4 linked regions of the Mus musculus genome follow. The protein of the gene in region 4 purifies or fractionates together with the protein of the main gene of each other region. This does not show direct contact. Links are inferred from orthologs where the notes say so. Each region holds a gene or a part of one and is shown on either strand. Other genes may lie near its edges. The genes, in order: Smad2, Smurf1, Usp15 and Tgfbr1.

Region 1 (5,482 bases), on a different chromosome or scaffold from region 4:
TAGTTATGAAGCAGCAATGCAAATAATTTTATGGCTGGGGGTTAACACAACTTGAGGAGCTGTTAAAGGGTCCCAGCATTAGGAAGGTTGAGAAACCATTGCTCTAGAAACCAAGCCTTGGAGGGCTGTGTAAACGGAGGAGTTATGAGCTCAAAGTCTGACACTTTGGAGAGATGGTTTAACTCAAGAAACACACACACACACACACACACACACACACACACACACACACACATATATATATATATATTTGGAATCTACCCAGCCTTGCTTCCCCCTCCCCACACCAACTCCTCGTGTGGACACCCAAATCCACATATGAACCACACAATGCTTTTTAAAAAATGTTTAAGATCACTTTTAACAGGGCATTCTGTATTAAAGCTGTTGATTTCTATCAGTATAAAGAAGGGTTGTAAGTCAGAACCAGTTTTCCTCCTTCCAATCTGAGCACCATTTGTCTTAACTACATTCCCAGGTGGCTCTGGAAGGCTGAAACAAGAAAGTTCCTTAACTGATGCCCCTCAAACTTCACTTTTATTTTGGTGGTGCTGGGGTTAAAATCAGGGCCTAGGATGGGCCACACAAGTGCTCTGCCCGGGAAGCTCTATCCTCTGCCCATTAACGTGGGAATTATGTGGACTTCCTCCAAAACTGCTAACAGAAGAAACCACCCTCTGAAGGTGACTTTCTGCTAAGTTCTTGTTAGCATAAATATTTGTCCATAAGCAAAGGGAAGTTAATGATCTTTATCTTTCCTTTAATTTCAAAGTCCTGTTCATGTTTACATTCATGATTTCTTTTTAATTATGGAAGTCTATAACATTTTTCATTTATAATATGTAAGTTGGTATCATGATCATATAAGTTCGTACCACTCTGTCAAAGGTCTTGGATTTGGAGTAGAGTTGCGTTCAAAACTATGACTGGCTTACATCTGGGGTGAGCCACATCTTTCCCCTAAGAATAGTGGTGAAGATTTTGAAAGCCTATTTTAAAAACCCTGAATGTCTGAAGGGAAGAGCAAATAACTCAAGGTCCACATACAGACCCCTGCTCTGGGATGCCCTCACATCTGAGGAGAGAGCATGCTCCACTCTAAAGTGCTTCAAGCACTATTGTGTTGGTTCTCCTGCACTGCTCTGTAGTGCTAGTGAGGCTTGCTGGATTAACGTATAGGTGGGCACGACCAACGAAACTATTTTACCACTAGCAACCTGAAAGAGGCATTGCAAATTTAGGTTTATTATCCTAACACAGTCTTTCATCTGCCGGGGTTGAGTCAAAATCAACCTGGTCACACCACTGCGAGTAGTCTGAAATTTGGGAACTTGGTGAGAAAAGTCTAGGAACAGGGACACAGCGAAGGAAAAATGTGGTAGAGAGAAGCCAGCAAATCAAGGAGCACACGCATAGGTGCTCACACTTCACAATGAGCATTCGAAGTGTGTAGCACTAATACTTTACTTCAGAAGAACCCACGGCTCGGGCTGGAGAAACACACCCAGGAGCTGCCCAGCCCTAATACCAACCGCACGGACAAGAACAGCTCGGCGGTTTTCGCCACCCGCCCCCGCCCCCCTCCAAGCACGAGGCCCCGCCCACTCATTTGCATAGGGCGCGCCCCTCAGCGGCCAGGACCCAGGCTGCTTCAGAGCTCTGCCAGCCCAAGCGGCTCAGACCCGGCTGGGGGCGGGCCCGGGCCGGAGCACGTGTCCATTCCGGCCTCACGACGGAGGTGGGCGAGGGCTTAGCCGCGGCGCTCCACCCAGAGGCGCCGGGGCGGGGGTCTGCGGGCGTGGCACGCCGCGCGGCCTTCCGCGATCCTCCACGAGCCCGGTGGGAGCGCGCCGGACACGAACTCAAGCGCAACCGCGGGCGTACCAACCCACCCGGCCTCGCCTCGCCTCACGCTCGACGGGGAAGGCGGAACCAATCAGCGAGCGACGTTTCCCTTCCGATTCCAGGCCCCCGACGCGGTGCTCACACCCCGGGCTCCCCGGTCGCTGATTGGCTGCGCGCGCCGCCGGTCCCGGCCGGAGGCGGGAGTCGGCGCCCCGCGCCTGCCCGCGCCCCGCTCGGCCCCCGGCCCTGCCCGCGGCGCCCGGCCTCCTTCCGTCCCTGCCGTGCTCCCTCCGTCTTCCGTGCGCGCCCGCTCGGCCGGCGTGCCTCACGCCTAACGGGCGGCCGCGGGCGCCAATCAGCGGGCGGCAGGGTGCCAGCCCGGGGCTGCGCCGGCGAATCGGCGGGGTCCGCGGCTCGGGGAGGGAGGCGGGGCTACCGCGCGCGGCGGTGGAGGAGCAGCTCGCCAAGCCTGCAGCTCGCGAGCGCCGAGCGAGCCTCCCGGAGGTAGGTGCGCGGCGGCCAGGGCGGTGGCGCGGGGTGCGGGCGGTGCCGGGGCGCGGGGCCGCGGCGAGCGGAGCGGGCGGCGCCCTCCTCGGCCGGCCGCGGCGAGCGCGGGCCTGGGGGCGGGGCGGGGGCCCGCGGCGCAGTTCCGCCTGCGCGCGCCCACTCCTCCGGCAGCGCGGAGCCCGTCGGAAGAGGAAGGAACAAAAGGTCCGGGGCCCGGCTCGGACGGGCCGGGACCAGGCGCTGGGTGCAGGTAAAGCCGGGGCGCCCGGGGAACCGGGCAGGAGTGTGCCGGGCCGGGTCACGTGGCCGCCCGTGTGGGGTGTGGCGGCGGGCCGTGGCGCGCGGGCCAGGGTCGGCGCCGTGGGCAGGGCCGCGAGCCCCCGCCCCGCCCAGCCTGACTGCGGCCCGCTTCTGTCCCGGCGCGCGGCCGCTCTCGCTCTGTGCCTTGCAGAATGGCCCCGGAGTCGAGTTAGGGGCGTGTGGTACTTTGCTTATACTTTTCCTTTTTCTTTTTCTTTTTTTTTTCTTTCCTGTGGCCTTTGTTAACCGTAACAGTCGCGGGTTCCGAATCACTGTGTGTACTCAGAAACACGCTCGTGGCTGAGGCTGCCCGGGCTCATCCTCCACGCACTTGGGAAAGTTGCTCCGTGGGTACAGCCTATTAGTTTCTAATCACACGCCTTTAGGAAGCATGCTAATTGAGTGCACTTATTTCAGATTGGTTTTCACAATCGGTGCTTGGATTTATTTTCTTCTAGGGATACTGTCCTTGGGCCAGGTACTTTTGTCCTCTTACCCTTGCGTGTTATGGTTTCCTTGTGAATCTAAACAAAAGAAAAACAAAAATCGAGGTTGGTTTTGTTATTCATTCCTTTTACACTTAAAGGCAAACACTACCTGTTTGTTGTCACGCCAATAAAAAAGAAAAAAAATGCCCAGGTGAAAATAATTCCGCAGCAGCATCCCGCCTTATTGTCATGCCTTGTTAGGACATTCTAAATGGCGATGTTTGTAACTAATGAAACGACGTGTAAATAAATGAACCATCAGGCAAATTTATCTGAAGATTATCTTTACAAAAAATGGCACCCTGGTATGTCAATTTACAAAATTTCTTGTTTCTGATTTCCTGACTTAACCCCATAACACTGATGAAAAGGATTTTTCTATTGAGCCTAACACTAGAATGCATTTGCTGCCGTGCTGGAAATATCTTTCCTATTAGTTTACTTTGGTTCCTGTAAAAAGCATTTTTCCCCTTAGCAGAGGCGTGTTAAGTAGTTAAAACGAAGTTGGAATAGTTTCAATCCATGAGTTAGTGAAGCAGATGGAATCCAGACATGGGAGAAGCAAATGTATTATAGTTTTAAGTTTTTTCTTTTTCTTTTTATTCCCCCCTCTCCCATTTAGCTATGAAACAGCTCCATAAAGAGGGGTTCCCCCCTCCCATTAGATCATTTGGCAAATGTTTATGTTTAATCCATAAAGTAACATTGATGTTACTTTTAAAATTTCTTTGTTTTTGCATAAACTTACCTGTGGTGATGAGAAAATTTGTGGACTTTTAAAAGCTGAATGCCCAGGTACATGCTTAATGTTAAAATCCAGTTAACTTAATTAAGTTTAAGGGTCCTCACTGGCCAGGCTTAATGACTGAACTGGGATTACAAACATCTCTTGTGTTCCTTTGCAAGACACTACTCTTAAATACTGTTGTTTCCTGTTTTATAGCTACACATAAAGTGATTCGTGTTGTAGGTGTTCAGCAAAGTTTGGTCTTTAGGGTTCTGAAGTACTTGTCACTAAATAGCTATGCAATCTGTATGGCTCGTAAAGTGAGTGTTGGGAGAAACTGCAGAGTAATTTCCTTTTAGGCTTGGTTGTGTGATTTAACTCTCATTAGGAATATTGGGGATGGTTTTCTATATAGCCCTTTCCTTCATGTGGACAAAGAGAATACTAATTCAGTAGAACAAGAGGTCTCTCATTTTGATGCATATAGAACATGTTGCTGTAGTCAGTACTTTGCATGAGGGAGGCTGGGTGAACACACAAGTAAACTTAACTAGGTTAGCTGCAGAACTGGGTGAACAGACAAGTAAACTTAACTAGGTTAGCTGCAGAACTGGGTGAACACACAAGTAAACTTAACTAGGTTAGCTGCAGAACTGGGTGAACAGACAAGTAAACTTAACTAGGTTAGCTGCAGAACTGGGTGAACAGACAAGTAAACTTAACTAGGTTAGCTGCAGAACTGGGTGAACACACAAGTAAACTTAACTAGGTTAGCTGCAGAACTGGGTGAACAGACAAGTAAACTTAACTAGGTTAGCTGCAGAACTGGGTGAACACACAAGTAAATTTAACTAGGTTAGCTGCAGAACTGGTGGTTGAGGACCTTTTGAGTTTTTAGATTTGACTTTTGGGCCTAACGGTTCCCTTCATGCTTGGTTTGGATGCCGTTGGTTTAATTGTTTGGACCCAGAACCCCATGTTTGCAGCAGCCTCTTTATACAGGTGCTTTTGTGATGCATGCAGGAGCTGTATATAGTGTAGTCTGGCAGATGGAGGTTTATTCATATTCTTGGGACAAGAATCCTTTTTAGAGGGTGGAGAGAGGCATATCTTTTTAGATGCTTTGTCTGAGTAAAAGCAGAAGACACAGTTTTAGGCCCGTGGTTTCTGTAAGTGCAAAGAGGTTTTCTACTAAGTATTGCAAAGGTGTATCAGACACTGACTATAGAGAATTCAGAGTTACTTTATTGGACAAGTAACACTTACACAACAAACGTTCTGTGGCTAGTCACCCCACTACTCCTCAGTGGAATTAGGGAAATGAGAGCTCCATGTCTTGTGGCCAAGGCCCCAAAGTAAGAAAGTTAATTACGTTAGAGCCTAAGTTGAGCTTGAGCATTCAATAAATCCATCCAGAGCCCCTTCCTGCAGTATACTTGCTTGCTTTCTGTCAAGTGTAGAGGGTGGCACTAGGGCGATGGGCTGCGTTAGCTCCTGTCACTGAGAATGAGCTCTTTGTTGGGGTAGGGGCACTGCCTGCCACTTTTCATTCAAACTGGAGATACAGCTAATCTTTGAGAAGCATGCTTGTGGAGCAGATGTACAGTTGCCGAGC
Region 2 (4,765 bases), on a different chromosome or scaffold from region 4:
TGCTGGGCCTAGTGGTATAGGGGCCTGTAGTGCTGGCACTTCCAGAAGCTGAGACAGGAGCATCGCAAGTCAGGGGCCTGCCTAGTTTACAGAGCCAGTCAACCTGGCTCTTATGTGGGGAGATGTAAACAGAGACAGACTGAGGTAATTTCTCCATCATGGTCCACTCTGTGACTTGATGAACACACTGGACTTCCTTACAGGAGGGTGGGGTGAGGGCTGACTTAGAGGAGCTACCGAAGTTCTGAAAACCCACTCCAGCACCAGCGGTGCTGGGCCTTGCAGGCAGCTGAGCAGCTTGGGGAGTCTTCTTTCCTCAGCAGTCCCTGCTAACTCTGGGAGGGCTGGGAGGAAGGGACCTTGTAAATCTGCTAAGTTTCAGGACTTCCTGAGACTTTGTGAGTTGCTTACTTCCTGTGTTTTAATGAGATTCCTTTAGAATTTCCTGAGTCTCAATAAGTCCTTCTGGTGTAGAATATTTTAATTCCAAGGAAATTGCTTCACAGCACCAGTCTGGGGAGCTTAAACTCCATCTCAGAATAAAAAAAGGTTTTTTTCTTTTGTTTGTTTCCTTTTAAGGGTGGTGGGATAGGATTGGGCATGTGGCATTAGGTGTAGAACACCTGCCTATTGTTCTTCACTTTAGGTAGAACTCTTGCCAGTGAGGGACCAAGGGTGTGGTTCAGTGGTAGAGGGCTTGCTTTGGCCCCTGTGAAATCCCTGGTTCGGATCTCTAGTACAGTAAATAAATGAACAAAGGGAAAAACAAATTTAAAAATGCTTATTACACCATGGTTGCCTGCACTCACTGCTTGTGTAGCTGGTGGGAGTCCTTTTCCTGTGCCTGATGAGGGATGGTGGCTCTGCCCTCACTGCCAGGGTCCCGAGGCAGCCAGATGCATGTGGGTGAGGGCCCGATGGACTCGTGTGCTGAACGAGTTTGTGTGCTGAACGAGTTTGTGTGCTGAACGAGTTTGTGTGCTCTCACAGGTATGTTGGGAAAACGGACTCGATAACCATCAGTGTGTGGAACCACAAGAAGATCCACAAGAAGCAGGGGGCTGGCTTCCTGGGCTGTGTGCGGCTGCTCTCCAATGCCATCAGCAGATTGAAAGACACTGGCTGTAAGAACCAGACGCTCTTCTGCCTCTCAGTGCACCCTCGGAAAGCTTAGGCGGCCCTGTGTCTTACTTTTATTTGAATGCCGAATGCAGAATTCCTGCCTTCCTCCCTAGTTAACGTTCTTTGGGTTAAGTTTTGAATTGTTTGTTTGCAGACCAGCGTTTGGATCTATGCAAACTAAATCCCTCAGATACTGATGCAGTTCGTGGCCAAATAGTGGGTAAGAATTTTCTCATCTGCATAAAGGGACTTGGATGGAACCCTCCGTCCTGCTCCCAGTGCTGACGGGGGACAGGCTTCCAGGGCAGACCACAGTGGGCCATCTCTCCAGTACTAAACCTTTCTTGTGTGGTTTCCTTTCTTTTCTCTGGTTCCCATCATCCTGTCATTGAAACTTAGTTCCAGTGACTCCAGCCAGGATGGGAGGTTGTGGTTTATAAGTGTTGTGCTACTCAGCACAGGAACGGACAATCGACCCTTATCTTGTCAGGGGTGATAAGAGTTGAGACTACAGGGGCAGGAGCTGGAGTGTGGCTTTTCTGGGAAGCCCCATTCTGTTGCAAAAGCAAAGAAAGTGTGTGACAAGTTCTGTGTAATGTGACTCACAGTCAGAGGACTCCATTGTGTGGAGAGAAAGGTTAAAGCATGCTTGCTGCATTGCCTGCAGGCATTCCGATGGAGTGACCTCTCTGAGTCACTGTCTCCTTGCCCACCCTGTTGTTGGCAGTGTGTTAGGGGAAAGCACATGCTGGGTGTGTGTGCTGCATGGAGTCAGTGGAGCCGCAGCCCGGCTGAGTCACTCGGACTCCAGATGCCTCAGGTCCCAAGACAGTGAGTGCTGCATCCGCCCAGAAGCAACTTGAGGATCAAGTTCTCATGCATTGCATCCCACTTGGAATTTCTTCTTTCCTTTGTAGAGGGGTGTGTCGGGGCAGAAATCAAACAACTGAAAACCTAGGAGTAAAACATGTTGTTTGCACCAGTGAGACTAGAACATAAATGTTTTCTTAGATTGAAGGTTTGTACCTTCACTAAACATAAACCTAGTCTTCTTAAGATGGATAACTTAATGGAGTGAAATGTTGCATTCTCCAGTTTTATGGGGATGGGGCATGAGAAGCTCAGGGCCTTTTCTGCTTTCTGCTTTCAAGGACTGCTCAAATGGTTGTGTGGTATGTGCAGCTGTTGGCCTGAGGTGCTCCACACTGAAAACAGGGGGGGAGGTGTAAACTCGCTTCCTTTGTGTGATACTGACAGGGGTCTCGAGCAGCCCTGGGTGTTAATGCGGGCTTTTCTTTTGTGTTGTAGTCAGTTTACAGACCCGAGACAGAATAGGCGGTGGAGGGTCAGTGGTGGACTGCAGAGGGCTGCTGGAGAACGAAGGGTACGTATGCCTACCATGCTGCCCCCTGTGGTGCCAGCCATGTTCTCTTTCCCTGTAGGAAAGAAGTGTCAAACCATATACTGCTATGTGGGATAAAACTGCTCCAAGCTACCATACTAGTGTGTGAAGGAAGGTGTAATTAACCCAGGGATTATACCCCAGAGATTCGGGAACCAACACAGGGAAGTTCCTACCAATTAGAGTTTAGCTGGGCACAATGGCGTATGCCTGTCATGTCAGCACTAAGGAGACAGGCAGGAGGATCCTGAGTTCTGGGTCAGCCTAAGCTATAAAATACAAAGAAGCCCAAGAAACAGCGGGTGTTTGTGCAGATCGGCCTTGATGCCCTTGCCTAGGGGGCAGCAACCTTGACTCTCTAGACAGGCTCATTGGCTTGGGGCTCACCAGTTAGCCCAGGCAGGCCAACCAGGGCTACCTGGCTCCTTCTCCCCTGTGCTGATTATATGCACACACCACCACATGAGCTAGGCTTTGAGTCAAGTCCTCCTTGCTTGTGCGGGAAGCATTTTCCCAACTGAGCTGTCTCCCCAGGCCCTGGACTCTGTCTTAATCATGATTTATAAGACAATTAAGAGAAATTTGAACATTGACCGGTGTTTGATGATGGTGATGATTATTTTATTATTATTATTTTGGTTCAGCAACAATAATGGAGAAGTCATTGGCTTTAAAGAAACAACAAAGTGGCCCATGCTAAAATACATACGGGTAGGATAGTAAATGCAGGGATTGAACTGACACTAGCCCCTTGGTGGGGAGGAGTGGAGGGCAGCCTGGCGACACCCCTGTGACTGCTGCCGCTTTTGGGGAAAGGCCCATTGTTCTGGTCCTCCATGTCGTGCATGCATTGAAAAATTTCAATATGAAGTTTAAAAAGTATCTGACTGTAAAGGGAAGTGACTCATTGAGGCAATTTGGTTTTGAAACTGCTGTGAGAGGGAAGAGAATGTTTAAAAAGTACTTAAGAGTCAAGAATTTCATCCTCGAGTAAAATAACAAAGAAAATGGAGTGTCAGGAACACCTTCCCAGTCAGGTAGCGGCACCTCCGGTGGCCCTGCTAGATAGAGCTCTAAATCGTGATTGGCTCTTTCTCTCTTGGTGGACCCTCGGAATTCATGAAGCTTTGCATTGAGAACACAGTCACTCGTTAGAGGGATGGAGAGCATCGCGTGTTTGAGTCTTGTGACACTTCCATAATGTTTCCACGCCTGTTCTGCCCTCCCTTCCAGAACAGTGTATGAAGACTCAGGCCCTGGAAGGCCGCTCAGCTGCCTCATGGAGGAACCTGCCCCATATACAGATGGTACTGGTGCAGCAGCAGGAGGCGGGAACTGCAGGTTTGTGGAGTCTCCAAGCCAAGATCAGAGACTCCTGGTACAGCGACTCCGAAATCCTGAGGTTCGAGGGCCCTTACAGACACCCCAGAACCGACCACATGGCCACCAGTCGCCAGAGCTGCCTGAAGGCTATGGTGCGTGTAAAGTCTGCTTCCTGTGGCTATGGTAAACACCAGGACTAAAAGTAGTTTGTGGAGAATAGGGTTTATTAGGCTTGTAAGTTCTAGTGTGTCACTAAGGGGAGTCAGGGTAGGAGCTGGAGGCAGGGACTGAGGCAGGGGCCATGGAGGCGTGTGGCTCACTGCTTGTTCAGCCTGCTTGCGTTTTTTGGGACAGGTCTCAGTCTGAAGTCTTGACTGGTTGGAACTATCTCTGTAGAGCAGCCTGGCCTTGAACTCAGAGATCCATCTGCCCCTGTCTCCTGAGGGGTGGAACTAAGGACAGACATGTGCTACTGTGCCTGGTCTCACCCTGCTTCCTTATACCATCTGGGACCACCTGTCCAGTGGGCTGGGCCATCCCAAATTAATAACTAATCAATAAAGTATCTCACAGACTTGCCTACAGGCCAATCTGATGGAGGCATTTTCTCAGTTAAGACTTCTGTTTTCCCAAATAACTCTAGCTTCTATCAAGTGACAGAAAACCAGTTCGGACATCGAGGGATTTGCCCTGTGCCCCTATGTGCTGTGCACAGCTGCTAATGGCTTAGCTGTGCCTTCTATGACTGTGGCATTGGATGACCTGGGCCACATACAGATGGGAAAGTTGTAATGAACTCTGGGGCAGTGTGAGGGAAGCTTGGAGACTCGGGATAGTATGAGATGTGAGACTAGGAGGGGCATCACGGGGATGGAGTGCACAGAGCCATGTGGCTTCAGTGCTAAGAAGGACCAAGAA
Region 3 (5,565 bases), on a different chromosome or scaffold from region 4:
GATCTCATCAGCCTGACGTATAACGTGAACTGACTCCTCTTGAACACAGTGTAGCTGAAGATGACTGTGGGTTTTTTGTTTGTTTGTTTGTTTTTCTGCGCGGACTTTGGCAGTTCTGTGTGGTGGGAAACTAGAAGAGAGGGCAGTGGCCTTATTACTTCATGGATCTGTTATGCTTATAAAATAACAAATGACACAGTTTTACCTTTAAAGTCCTGAATGCTTTGTTAAGAATAGCTTTATTGAGATATAACACACATACTATACAATTTATCCTGATATCAGTCCAATTCTTCCTACTAACATTTGTTGATTGGCTATTAAGTTCCAGGCAACAAACTCATATTGTTTCATTTAATCTTCATTTTTTTTTTTTTAGAAAAAAAAATCCTTAATGGGGTCTAGAGATAGGACTCAGGCAGAAGAGTGCTTACATAGCAAGCACGAAACCCTGGGCTTGATGCCCAGTGCTGCAGAAACATCCCAGAACTGGGGAGGCGGAAGCAGACAGATCAGATAAGTTCAAAGTCATCTTCTGTTGCACTGACAACCTGGGACGCATGGGATCCTTTCTGAAAAATAAGATAAAGTAAAGTTCAAAAACTGTTAAAAGGCTAGGTTGGCAATTTGGCTCAGCAGGCATAATTGTGACTTACCCAAGTCTGATCCCCTGAGACCCTCATAGTAGAGAGAGCTGACGCCTGCAACGTTGACTTGTGATCTCCACAGTAGGCTGTCACAGGCACACACTCAACTCATCTAGAAAATAAATGCACTGCATGCTTTTAAAATCCTTTAAGATAAATATTATACTATTTAAATTTGTAAATAGACTACAGATTAAGTGTTGGCAGCTAGAGATCCGAAGCCATGTATGTATGAGGATACAGCATATTCTTTGCATACCAAGTTGTCTCTCTTTGAAAACTTACTTTGCTTTCCTTCACAGAGTGGTAGAAGATGGGGATGGGGGGTGTGGATATATAACAACTGAGAATGTCCATAGTTAGGAAAACTCGGTTTTATAATCAGGAGTGGTCAAATAACATAAGAAATAGCCGTAAATGGAAATGACTTTTAGACTCATTGAGGCTGAAGTAATACAAAGAGAGTACTGCGCAGAAACAAGCAGTCACATACTGACTCACTCAAGTATGACGCCAATACACACCGGTTGTGCTAGTTGTTTTCTATTGCTGCAACAAAGCATTCTGACCAAAGGCAACTTAGGAAAGAAAGGGTCTGGGTGGCTTACGCTAGGGGAAGGTCACAGCCAGAGCTCAACAGGAACCCAGAGCAGAGTACGTGGACGGACACTGCTTTTTATGGCTTGCTCAGCTTGTTTTCTTACACAACTCAGGACCACCTGCCCACAGTGGGTTTACCACACCGATCGTTAAACAAGAAAATGCTCCACTGACTCATCACAGGCTACTCTAAGGGAGGCAATCCCATAATTAAGGTTCCCCTCTTTCCAAGTGACTTTAGTTTCTGTCAAGCTGACAAACCCTAACCAGGGAAACACTGCTTTCTCTTGGATGGGCCAGCAGTCCTCACTAATGCAGGCACCCCCTTCCTTACTGAGTTTCCCACCAAAACTAGGAGGCTTAAAAAATGGAGAGACCATTGCCCATCCTTTAACTTGTCACCTACTGTTCTACTGAGGTAGCCGTCTTCATTCTTAGAAACAGCAGTTTTGCCTTAGTTAATTTTGAAACGTTTGCCTCAAATGGTGTAGAATGGTACTAGACCATTAAACCGCAGTGCACACACACACACACACACACACACACACACACACACACGCACACACACGCACACACACGCACACTCACACGCCAAATTATAAAGAGAACTTAGTTGCAGCTTTTACGGAGTTTGTATCTTAATTCAGCCTTTCATGGAGGTACTGAGTACTGGGGATTTGAAATCTGTGCGATAACCTTGCACTTCCAGTTGCCGTGTGACCTTGGCATTTGATTTTTAAGAGGCTCAATTTCCCCGTTTGTAATTGTTGCCTTCAAATGCAGCTTGTATTATCGAGTCTAACTTTAGGCATATACAACCATGAAATTTAATCTAGGGGAATGCTAATTTGACGCCCATGAGGTTTCTCCCACGTTTCTAACCCCCTTCAGTACCTGGCCTTATTCAATACATCTTTAACTGCTTGTTCACCTAGAAACTGGGACATGTTTTGCACTGCAGCTAACGTGTGTGTGTGTGTGTGTGTGTGTGTGTGTGTGTGTGTGTGTGTCCACGCGCGCTAGGAGGCGTCACAAAGAGCTTATGAAAGGTAGAAGTCCCTACAGACAGCAAGCATGGGAGAGCTGGGAAGAACCTAGGAAGGGCACTGCGCCCAAACCTTTGGTTTCAGAGCCCTCTTTGTGCCAATATTCAGTGGGCTTGGGCTCTGCGGCTGGAAAGGAAAAGCCCCAAGTCACGGAACTGCGCGCTTTCTGCCATGTCCCAGCCGGCCCCGCCCTCCAGTAGGAGTGAACCCGCAAAAACATGGGTTTGGAGGCGGCTGCGGCAAGAAAAGGGCCAGCATGGCAAGGAGAGTCCGAGCAGGGCAGGGCAAAGGCAGGGAGAGAAAGCGCGGCACCCGGTGAGAACCGTGCAAACTCAGAGGTCTGGGGCGGCGGCGGCGACCACGCCGTGCTGCGGGGCGTGCGGGGACCCGAGGGGGCAGCAGGGCGCAGGCGCGCACCCGCCGCGCTCCCCGCCGAGCCACGCCCCCAGACCCCCGCCCTCGCGCCCCATTTGGTACAGACCTGCCGGCGGGGCGGGGCCGGGGACGCCATTCCCACAATGCTCCGGGGCGTGCCGCCGCCGTCGCCGCCGCCTCCGCTACGGCTAGTGGAAGAAGATGGCGGAAGGCGGAGCGGCGGACCTGGACACCCAGCGTTCTGACATCGCGACGCTGCTCAAAACCTCGCTCCGGAAAGGGGACACCTGGTAGGGAACGGGGTCGCGGGGCCCGCGGGGGCCCGAGGCTGGCGGAGAGCTGGGCGGGAGCGGTGGGCTGGTGTCGCCGGCTGGTGACAGGTGCGGACAGGTCCGGCGGCGGCCGCTCAGGCAGCAGATTTTGGGGGCAAAGGTTGGACCGGCGCAGAGGGCCGGGGCTCGCGGTGGGCGGTGCGCGCCCGGGGCTGCGCGGAAGCGGCGGCCGGGGCTCGCGGGGCTCCGGGTCCTCCTCCCTCCGGCAGTGCCGCTCCCACTTGGGGCCTTGGCGGAGCCCGGGTGCAGTGGCTCGGCGTGAGCCTGCCTGCCGCTGGTTTTTTTTTTTTTTTTTTTTTTTTTTTTTTTTTTTTTGACAGATCCCGGTCGCGCCGCTCCTCCTCGCTCGCCCGCCGCGCTTCTCTGGTCACTCCTTCCCCGGCGTCGTCCGCACCCAAGTTCCCCATTATTCCGATCCTTGTAGTCTTCCGGGAGCCGGGCTTCAGGATGTTTGCGGCGGGGACCACACAGGTGGTGTGTGTCAGGGCTCCGCTGAAAAGGAAACCCCTAATTTCCACTTCCTTGTCAAAAAGGAGGGAGCGGTGTAGGGACCTTGTTTTTTTAATTTTTTTTTCTTGAGAGAGAGAGAGAGAGAGAGAGAGAGAGAGAGAGAGAGAGAGAGAGAGAGAGAGGCACCACGTGGTCCTGTGCTTTGCTCCTGGCTCGATAGGAGCCGGCAGCGCTTCTGTTTGGAAGTGCAGCCCTTCCCTCCGGTTTGAAGGATAACGTAGGCCTGCAGAAAGTAGATAAGTCCACTTGAAGCTTAAAGGCTTGCTCATATTCAAACTTGTAAAATGCCAAAATAAGAGGGTACTGTACCTAAATAACTAGAGGAAGCATGTACAAAATTTAACACTCGTCAGCCAAAGCAGTTAACTTACAGAATTATTTAAATAAAGGGAAAGTTCTGTTTTAGGGGAAGGGCAGTGTGCCTGTGTGTTCTTTCGTTCTTTCTTTCTTTCTTTCTTTCTTCCTAAGTTACTTTTCCTTCCTTCTGTCTCCGTACTAGTGGTTTATAGCGTCTCAAGTGCCTGTTAGGTACTCCAGTGTGGCTAGTGGAAAGAGACTTAAGACCTGATTTATTCACAGTTCTCAAGTGCTTGTTAGGCACTCCAGTGTGGCGCGGTGGAAAGAGACTTAGACCTGATTTATTCACAGGTCCACCTCATACTTTGCAGTGTGACTTGGAAGCAAATTCATCCAAGCCATTGAGCCTCCGCATCTCCATCTGTTCAAAGAGCAATAACGATGTTATTGTGTTTGCTCTATATTAATTCAGCTAAATATTCTGAACTATCTGGTATTCATGAAATACTAAGTTTTAGTGATCTTTTTTATTTCTGCCATTAATTCCAGACAAGTGCTGTGGGGTTGGAATCATTTTCGAGTTAGCTAATAGGCGACAGCTGGGGGACCTGAATTGAAGTTCTTGGATCCTTAGTTTGTAAGACGGCAAACACTTTGTGTAATTAAGAACCTTGATGATGGAAAACACACTTGTTGCATTACAGCCTTGCAGAGGCTTAAGTCATTATTGCTTATAGTCTGCTTTTGTTTTTCTTACGGAGTTTATTGCTGAGAAGAAATCGGGCATTCCCTAGAACACCTATGCTCCCCTTGGCCTGTGCGATCTTAACAGATAAATTCAAGCTTCTTCTCTCTGGTATATTGAAGAACATTTTTTAAAAACCAATTCACTCATTTATTGTATCATACAAATATAAATATGACTACCGATAAAATAGAAATATTTTTTAGAATGTGGATAGTTTTCTCACTAATGTTTTTCTGTTGAGTAATATCACGTATAATTGGTGTTCATGGTAATATATGATTTAAGAAATACCTGTATTGTGGATATTAAACTACTTTTAAAGTTGGTTATTTTTAAGCGAGTATATTTTTCTTGACAGTTACCGTAAACCACGTCAAAATGTACAAGTTAAGTCTATACTTGGGTTGTTACAATGCCTTAATTTCAAGAAAGAACTTAAGTCCAGTTTTTAGGCAGCAGCTAAATATGCAAGTTTTACCTCCTTGTTAATTTTCTATTTTGTGTAAATCAGTGGTTCTCAACATTCCTAATGATGCTGCCTTTTAATACAGTTCTTCATGCTGATTCTGCTACTAAGAAAAAAAGAGATAGGCTTACCATAATCTGGAAATCTTCGTACAGAGTTTTGAAATTATAGTGAGGTGCGTTAAATTTCACCACATTAGCTCCTGAGCACTTTGCAAACTAACTCAACTACCTAGGCAGATATTTGTATTTGATTTGGGTCTTCATGAATACCCATCTCTGTTTATTTGTTTATGGGTGGTGATTTGAGTACACAAGTTGTGCTGAGATAAAGAGAGCATTCTGTACGACTGGCACTGGACGTGCAGTAAGAAGTAGGTAAACAGTGGTACAAGAGTTCTCCCTATGACAGGTGAGCTAGCAAGGTGACACTCATTGACAAGGAATAAATCGGTAGTCTCACAATGCTAGTTGTTTGTCTGTTTCCGTTCTGACAAGACAGTGAGGAAACCATAAGCAAAGTTAAATTAGAATTTAGAAAATTT
Region 4 (5,473 bases):
AGTCCTGAGACATCTTTCCAATGGAACAATCGTAATTCCTAGCCTCACATGGGAAACCTTCAAACCTCACTGGAAAATCCAGGATAGTTTGGCATCTGTTCATACAAAATCCTCCATGACAGAACACAACAAAAACCATGTAGATTTAGGGGATAACTAGCAGTACTAAGCTGGTAGTTGCTCAGCAAGAGAGGATGTTAGGGACTTTTTCCAAGAAAGCCCTGAAATTGCAGGCAGCAAACAGCATTCTAACAAGTGATGCAAATATAAACAAGTAATATTGTGTATTTGTCCAGGGATAAGGGATCAATTTCCCTACAAAAATCTATATTGGAGAAAACATATGCTAGCAGAGAAATATAAATAACAGACAGTAAAGAGCAATTTCAAGTTTTAAGAGAAGCTAAATTATAAAGAAAAGCTGTGCATTTCTTCAGAATGTATAAAAGGCTACACTGAAACAACCTAACGAAATGAGACAAGGTGAACTTATCTAGGTCTAGCGTCTTCTTTTTGGGGGGTGGGGTTGAGATAAGACCTCTATATTATGATGTCCTAGAACTCACTATGAGATCAGAATCTGCTGAGTGCTGAGATTAAAGGCATGAGCCACAGTGCCCTGCAGGCCATAGCTTAAACTGATTCCTAATTCCACATAGAGATGCTGGGTCATATAACAATCTGGCAACAGTAAAGGACTTGTGAATGTATAACACCCCAAAATTAATTCAAAATCAACTGAGTAATGAATCTGAGGTGTTTCTGGCAATCCATGCTTATGTTGCAAGATGCAACTTCACTACAGTCTTGGTTCTAAACACACATGCTATCGTGCTATGCAGTGCTAACACAGTCCAGACTATTATTTTATGAGTTTTAATGTTTTTATTGAATATACAAAGTTTTCTATTCTTCCAGAAACATACACAAACTACAGAAAAGACTTTCATTCCTCATGTATATCAAAGTGGTATATCCTTGACCAATTGTATTGTGTTAAAATGTCTGATTTTAAAAACTGCTGTTTAAGTTGCTGACTTAAATTTCATTTTAAAAATTATTACATAAATCTCATCTTGTGATTAAGATAGAATTGCAACAATTTCTGAAATGGTCCTAAACATCTGTAATTATGTGGAGTCGCCAGCACTGGATGATTCAGTTCTTTAAGAAAAAATAAACTCACCCATCTCATTACTACAGAAATGTGCTTTAATCTTTAATAAATGGTAAAACTGTATATACCAATGAATTGTTTTAAAATAATTTTATTTATGCTCTATTATCAGTACATTTGATTTATATACCCATCTTTTACATTTTGTATGTGACTCATGGGCACATACAATCTTTTGAGAAAAGAGGGTGGCAAATGGGGAAAGTTTATGAAGTACTAGTCTAGGTTTTGAGCAATAAAAACATCTAGGCTAATTTTGTATTACATCATTGCCTAAGTAGGCTATAAAGTCCTCCAGGACATGAACCAGCCTTCTCAGCATCCACGTCAATACTGCTAAATGCATGAACGTGTCCTGCTTTGTTTTAGGTAGAAAAGAATTAATTACTTTACCCAAATAACTGTTAGATATGGTCACTTATAGTTGATGCATAATTATAACAATTCTCCCACTTTGTCCACCATTATTTCCTTCCTAAGCCAATGTCAAAAACCCATTGTATCTTCTACTGTAGACCTATGTAAAGAGAATGTTCAAGTAAACTAAGAAACTGATGGCTAAGTTATGTTATCAAATATCAACTGTTCTTTAAGTGAGTCATGCTACTTTGGTGTAACAGGTGCACAGATTTTGAACCCTGAAAGCCTAAGTGCAAATCCTAATTTCTGCACTTACTAAGAACTTAATCTTCTGCACCTCAGTTTTCATGTCAATATACAGGACAAATACTGGTACTGCGAGGGTTCTGATACTGTGTCTTTTACATCTGCATTATAATCAACTCCCAATAAACAGTAACTATTAAGTTTAATCATAGTTGGCATCCACAGTCTGGAGAGACTTTTGTTTTGGCTTGTTTTGCTTTTTAAAATGTTGTTATCCAATTTCCGCAACAAAAATGTATTTTCACTGTATGCAGGTTGCTAATGCCGAGCCTCAGTATTTTGCTTTCTCCTATTTTAATTGGTTCCTGACAAAGTTTTTTTCAATCTTCCCTCCAGAGGTGACAACCAGTATCACGACCGGCTTTAATATTTTGGGAAACCACACATTTCCCTTCAAACCCCAGCTACACAGAGGTCTGGTTTTAAAACTACCGCTTAGGGAAATGATACACCCAAAGCAACGATCCCCTCGAGAAAAGGAATAATTTGATCAATTCTACAGAACCGTTCCCATTCAAACGTTCCCAAATCTGCAGAGTGAGCAAACGTTCAAGTTTCTACTAGCAAGAAGACAATCTGCAGCCTTCTGGTTACTGGACTCTGAACTCTTCCCAGACTCACGAAGCGAGAACATTCCGCGCATCTTCGCGCCTGCTTCTCACACAAAGCCCCTGGTTGAAGAAAAGTCGCCCTAGGCGGGCGTCGGCACTCACGGCGGTGCGGCCCACCCGGGGTCTCTGCCCACGGCGCCCCTTTCGACCCTCCGGGGAGCCCTCCAAGCGCCCGGCCCCGGAGCGCCTCCACGCCGGTGCCCGCCCACGCCCCAACAGCTTCAGGCCGGGGCGCATTTAGGCAGTGGAATCAGGGGGCCACGGTCCCGGCCGGCCTCGCACCCCTAAGGGCAGCCCCCGACCTCGGCAGGCTCGCCAGCCGCTGCCCCCCGGGAGCCCAAGAGGGCCGGCCTCTGCTCGGTGCTCCGCCACCCGCGCTCGACACCGCCCCCGCCCCGCCTCTCCTCCCCGCCCCGGCTCGCGTGGCGCCTGCCGGGTCAGGAGCGCCCGGCCGGCCGGGCGCCGCCACCTGCGCCCCCGGCCCCGCGCCATGTTTGAGAAAGAGCTGAAGCGAGCCAGAGGCCCGGCCCGGCCCGCGCGCCCCGCAGCCACCCGCCCGCCACTCACCCTTCGCCCCCGGGAGCAGCGTCGCCGCCGCCACCAACACGATGAGGAGCTGCGGACGACGTGGAGCAGCGGCCGCCGCCTCCATGGTCCCGCCGCCACTGTTTGTGGCCCGGCCCGGCCCCGGCCGCAGCTTCTCCTCAGGAAGCCTCGCCCCTCCTCGCCCCACCTCCCCGCCGCCGCCGCGGCCTCGCTCCGGCCCTTTGTAACTGCTCGAGGGGCGTACGCCCATTGGCTGCCCGGCTCCCGCCGACCCCGCCTCCCCCGCCGCCCGCGAGCGCCCTAGCGGGACCTAGCCGAGAGCCCCGCCCGCGGGGCCCTGGGCTACCAATGAGCGGCCGTGGGTTTCTGCCTCTAACCACGCCCCCGCACTGCTGGGCCTCTGACCACGCCCCCTCACCGCTGGGCGCCTTTACTCCAGCCACAGCGGGCAGCTCGCGCTCCCGCGGCGGGTGGGGGCAGGGTCCCAGTCTGCGCGCCCGAGGGAGCCCACGGTCCCGACTGAGCGCAGGGTGTGCCTGTGAGAGTTGCTCAGGGAAAGACTGTGACCGTTGCACGCTCTTTTCTTCTACTCCAACCCCACCCTGACTTCCCCTGCACAGTCCTGCACCCGCAAAACCCAACTCTCGCCACTCGGACCCTCAATATTGTCCGGGGTTCAACTTCCCCCACCCTAGACCCGCGGCTTCCAGCCTCCCCGCAAAGACAGTCCGATTTCTTTCTGCACTCCACGTCCGCCCCAGACCTCGTCGTCCTCTCCCCAAATTCCAGTCTCAAAGTCGGAGCCCAGTTTCGGAATCCCAAGGTGGAGCTCAGACACACCCCCGAGTGGCCTCTGTGTCTCGGCACCGTAAAAAGACCCAGACTAAGGGTCCCCGCCGCCCTCCTTCCCTCCCACCTTTGCTGTCCCCGCGTGGAAGCGGAGAGGCCCACGGGTTTCGAAGGAGGGAGGATTGCCCTACGAAGAAGCATCCCGCCCCGGGGCGAAGCGGGAGCAGTCATAGGTACTTTGAGTTGTCTCCGACACTCCTGTGTAATAATTTCGAGGTGTCACTAAAAACCCAAATAAACTCAGCTCCGCTTTCATTCTGAATTCCTAATTTACTGTGAGACGCTCCACCCACCTTCCCTCTGGGACGCCAAAATGAGCTCCAGATTTGTAATTCTTCCTGTCAGACTAGTCCTTTCTTCAGACACAAACACAGTCACGGAGGCGGCCGCATGGCACCGACAGCATTTTTCCGCAGAACCTTTTAAGGAGAAAATGTTATTTTCTGTGTGATTTGAACTCGGAATTAAATAAAGCTCCGTAGTAGGAATCAGCCGGCCTCTAGTAGCTGTTGGTAAATTGCTTTATAGCCACTTTCCAAGAGTTTGATCCTGCTTATGAAAGCAAACCGTGGGGGCTAAGAGCTGGGGTCTGAGACTGCTCCTCGGCTCCAGCTAGGACACGCTTCAGCAAGTCCTCAACCTGCCAGAACCTGAACAGGCCTGCTCTCTGGGACTCCAGAACCATCAGTTCCTGCCTCCCCTGGCTCCCCTGGCCCCCCTGGCTCAAATGCCCTGAGGTTACAGGGACTAAATTTGACCAGCTTCTAATGAAATCTCTCTGGGAGATATAAAGAGCCTGACACACCTAAAATCTCCAGTGACTGCCCCCGCCTCACCCCCACCCCTAAAGCCTTGTACTTCCTAGGCAAGTACTCTACTCATAAGCTATACCCCCAGCTCTTGTGCTCCTATGTGCACCGTATGCAAGTAGTGCTTGTGGGGTCCAGAAGAGGGCGTCCAATCACTTGGAACTGGAGTGACACCTGGAGTGGAACTGTGAGCCACCTAACAAGGATGCTAAGAACGGAACCACTTCCTCTGCAAGAGCAGCAGTCTCTTAACTATTAACCTATCTCTCCGGCCCCCAGCCCTTGGTTTTTAAAGATGGGGGTCTCACTATGCAAACCAGGCTAGACTGAAACTCGGAATCCTCCTTCCTTAGTCCTCCACCTCCCCTCCCCCAGGCCTGGGGTTGCAGCCACATGCCAAGATGCCCCCCCTATTTTTCTTTTTCTGATCTAGTCTGTGTCTTGCATAAGATCTCAAGAGATTTTTATGCTATGCATGAATAATTAATCTCATAGGAATTTTTTCTCTGGTTATCTTTAATGGGTTGCAAATATTAAAAGCTCCCATCCCACTTATAAATGGGACTGAATCACAAGTCCAGAGTGCCTTAGTGACATAATGTGTCTGGAACAGTGTCTGGGACATAGTAAATATTTAGTTAATACCATTTACTTTGCCCCCTCCCCTTTGCATGATGTTAACCTTGAGTCTAACCCAATGCTTTGCCTTATGAAGCCTGTACTGATCAACATGAGGATTTTTTTCTGTGACACATTTCCTAGTCCAGGACATTTTCCATGGAATGAAGTGTGTTCACTTGGAAACTGAGGAACAA

What was found.
Region 1: the proteins of Tgfbr1 (region 4) and Smad2 purify together in Homo sapiens (affinity purification with western blotting; 8 studies listed by BioGRID and IntAct, with this or other methods). This does not show direct contact. The link is inferred for Mus musculus from reciprocal best matches to the Homo sapiens genes TGFBR1 and SMAD2.
Region 2: the proteins of Tgfbr1 (region 4) and Smurf1 purify together in Homo sapiens (affinity purification with western blotting; 3 studies listed by BioGRID). This does not show direct contact. The link is inferred for Mus musculus from reciprocal best matches to the Homo sapiens genes TGFBR1 and SMURF1.
Region 3: the proteins of Tgfbr1 (region 4) and Usp15 purify together in Homo sapiens (affinity purification with western blotting; 4 studies listed by BioGRID). This does not show direct contact. The link is inferred for Mus musculus from reciprocal best matches to the Homo sapiens genes TGFBR1 and USP15.

The regions. Positions count from the first base shown.
Region 1 is NC_000084.6:76,239,631-76,245,112, forward strand, and holds the start of Smad2 (mothers against decapentaplegic homolog 2), read left to right. Parts: upstream 1-2,070; 5' UTR 2,071-2,349; intron 2,350-2,452; exon of another isoform or gene 2,453-2,602; intron 2,603-5,482. UniProt on the Homo sapiens protein: Receptor-regulated SMAD (R-SMAD) that is an intracellular signal transducer and transcriptional modulator activated by TGF-beta (transforming growth factor) and activin type 1 receptor kinases.
Region 2 is NC_000071.6:144,895,724-144,900,488, reverse strand, and holds part of Smurf1 (E3 ubiquitin-protein ligase SMURF1), read left to right. Parts: intron 1-990; coding exon 991-1,124; intron 1,125-1,276; coding exon 1,277-1,342; intron 1,343-2,430; coding exon 2,431-2,506; intron 2,507-3,672; exon of another isoform or gene 3,673-3,757; coding exon 3,758-3,999; intron 4,000-4,765. UniProt on the Homo sapiens protein: E3 ubiquitin-protein ligase that acts as a negative regulator of BMP signaling pathway. Mediates ubiquitination and degradation of SMAD1 and SMAD5, 2 receptor-regulated SMADs specific for the BMP pathway.
Region 3 is NC_000076.6:123,194,220-123,199,784, reverse strand, and holds the start of Usp15 (ubiquitin carboxyl-terminal hydrolase 15), read left to right. Parts: upstream 1-2,765; 5' UTR 2,766-2,869; coding exon 2,870-2,958; exon of another isoform or gene 2,959-5,565. UniProt on the Homo sapiens protein: Hydrolase that removes conjugated ubiquitin from target proteins and regulates various pathways such as the TGF-beta receptor signaling, NF-kappa-B and RNF41/NRDP1-PRKN pathways.
Region 4 is NC_000070.6:47,350,945-47,356,417, reverse strand, and holds the start of Tgfbr1 (TGF-beta receptor type-1 isoform 1 precursor), read right to left. Parts: upstream 3,197-5,473; 5' UTR 3,107-3,196; coding exon 3,022-3,106; exon of another isoform or gene 2,180-3,021; intron 1-2,179. UniProt on the Homo sapiens protein: Transmembrane serine/threonine kinase forming with the TGF-beta type II serine/threonine kinase receptor, TGFBR2, the non-promiscuous receptor for the TGF-beta cytokines TGFB1, TGFB2 and TGFB3.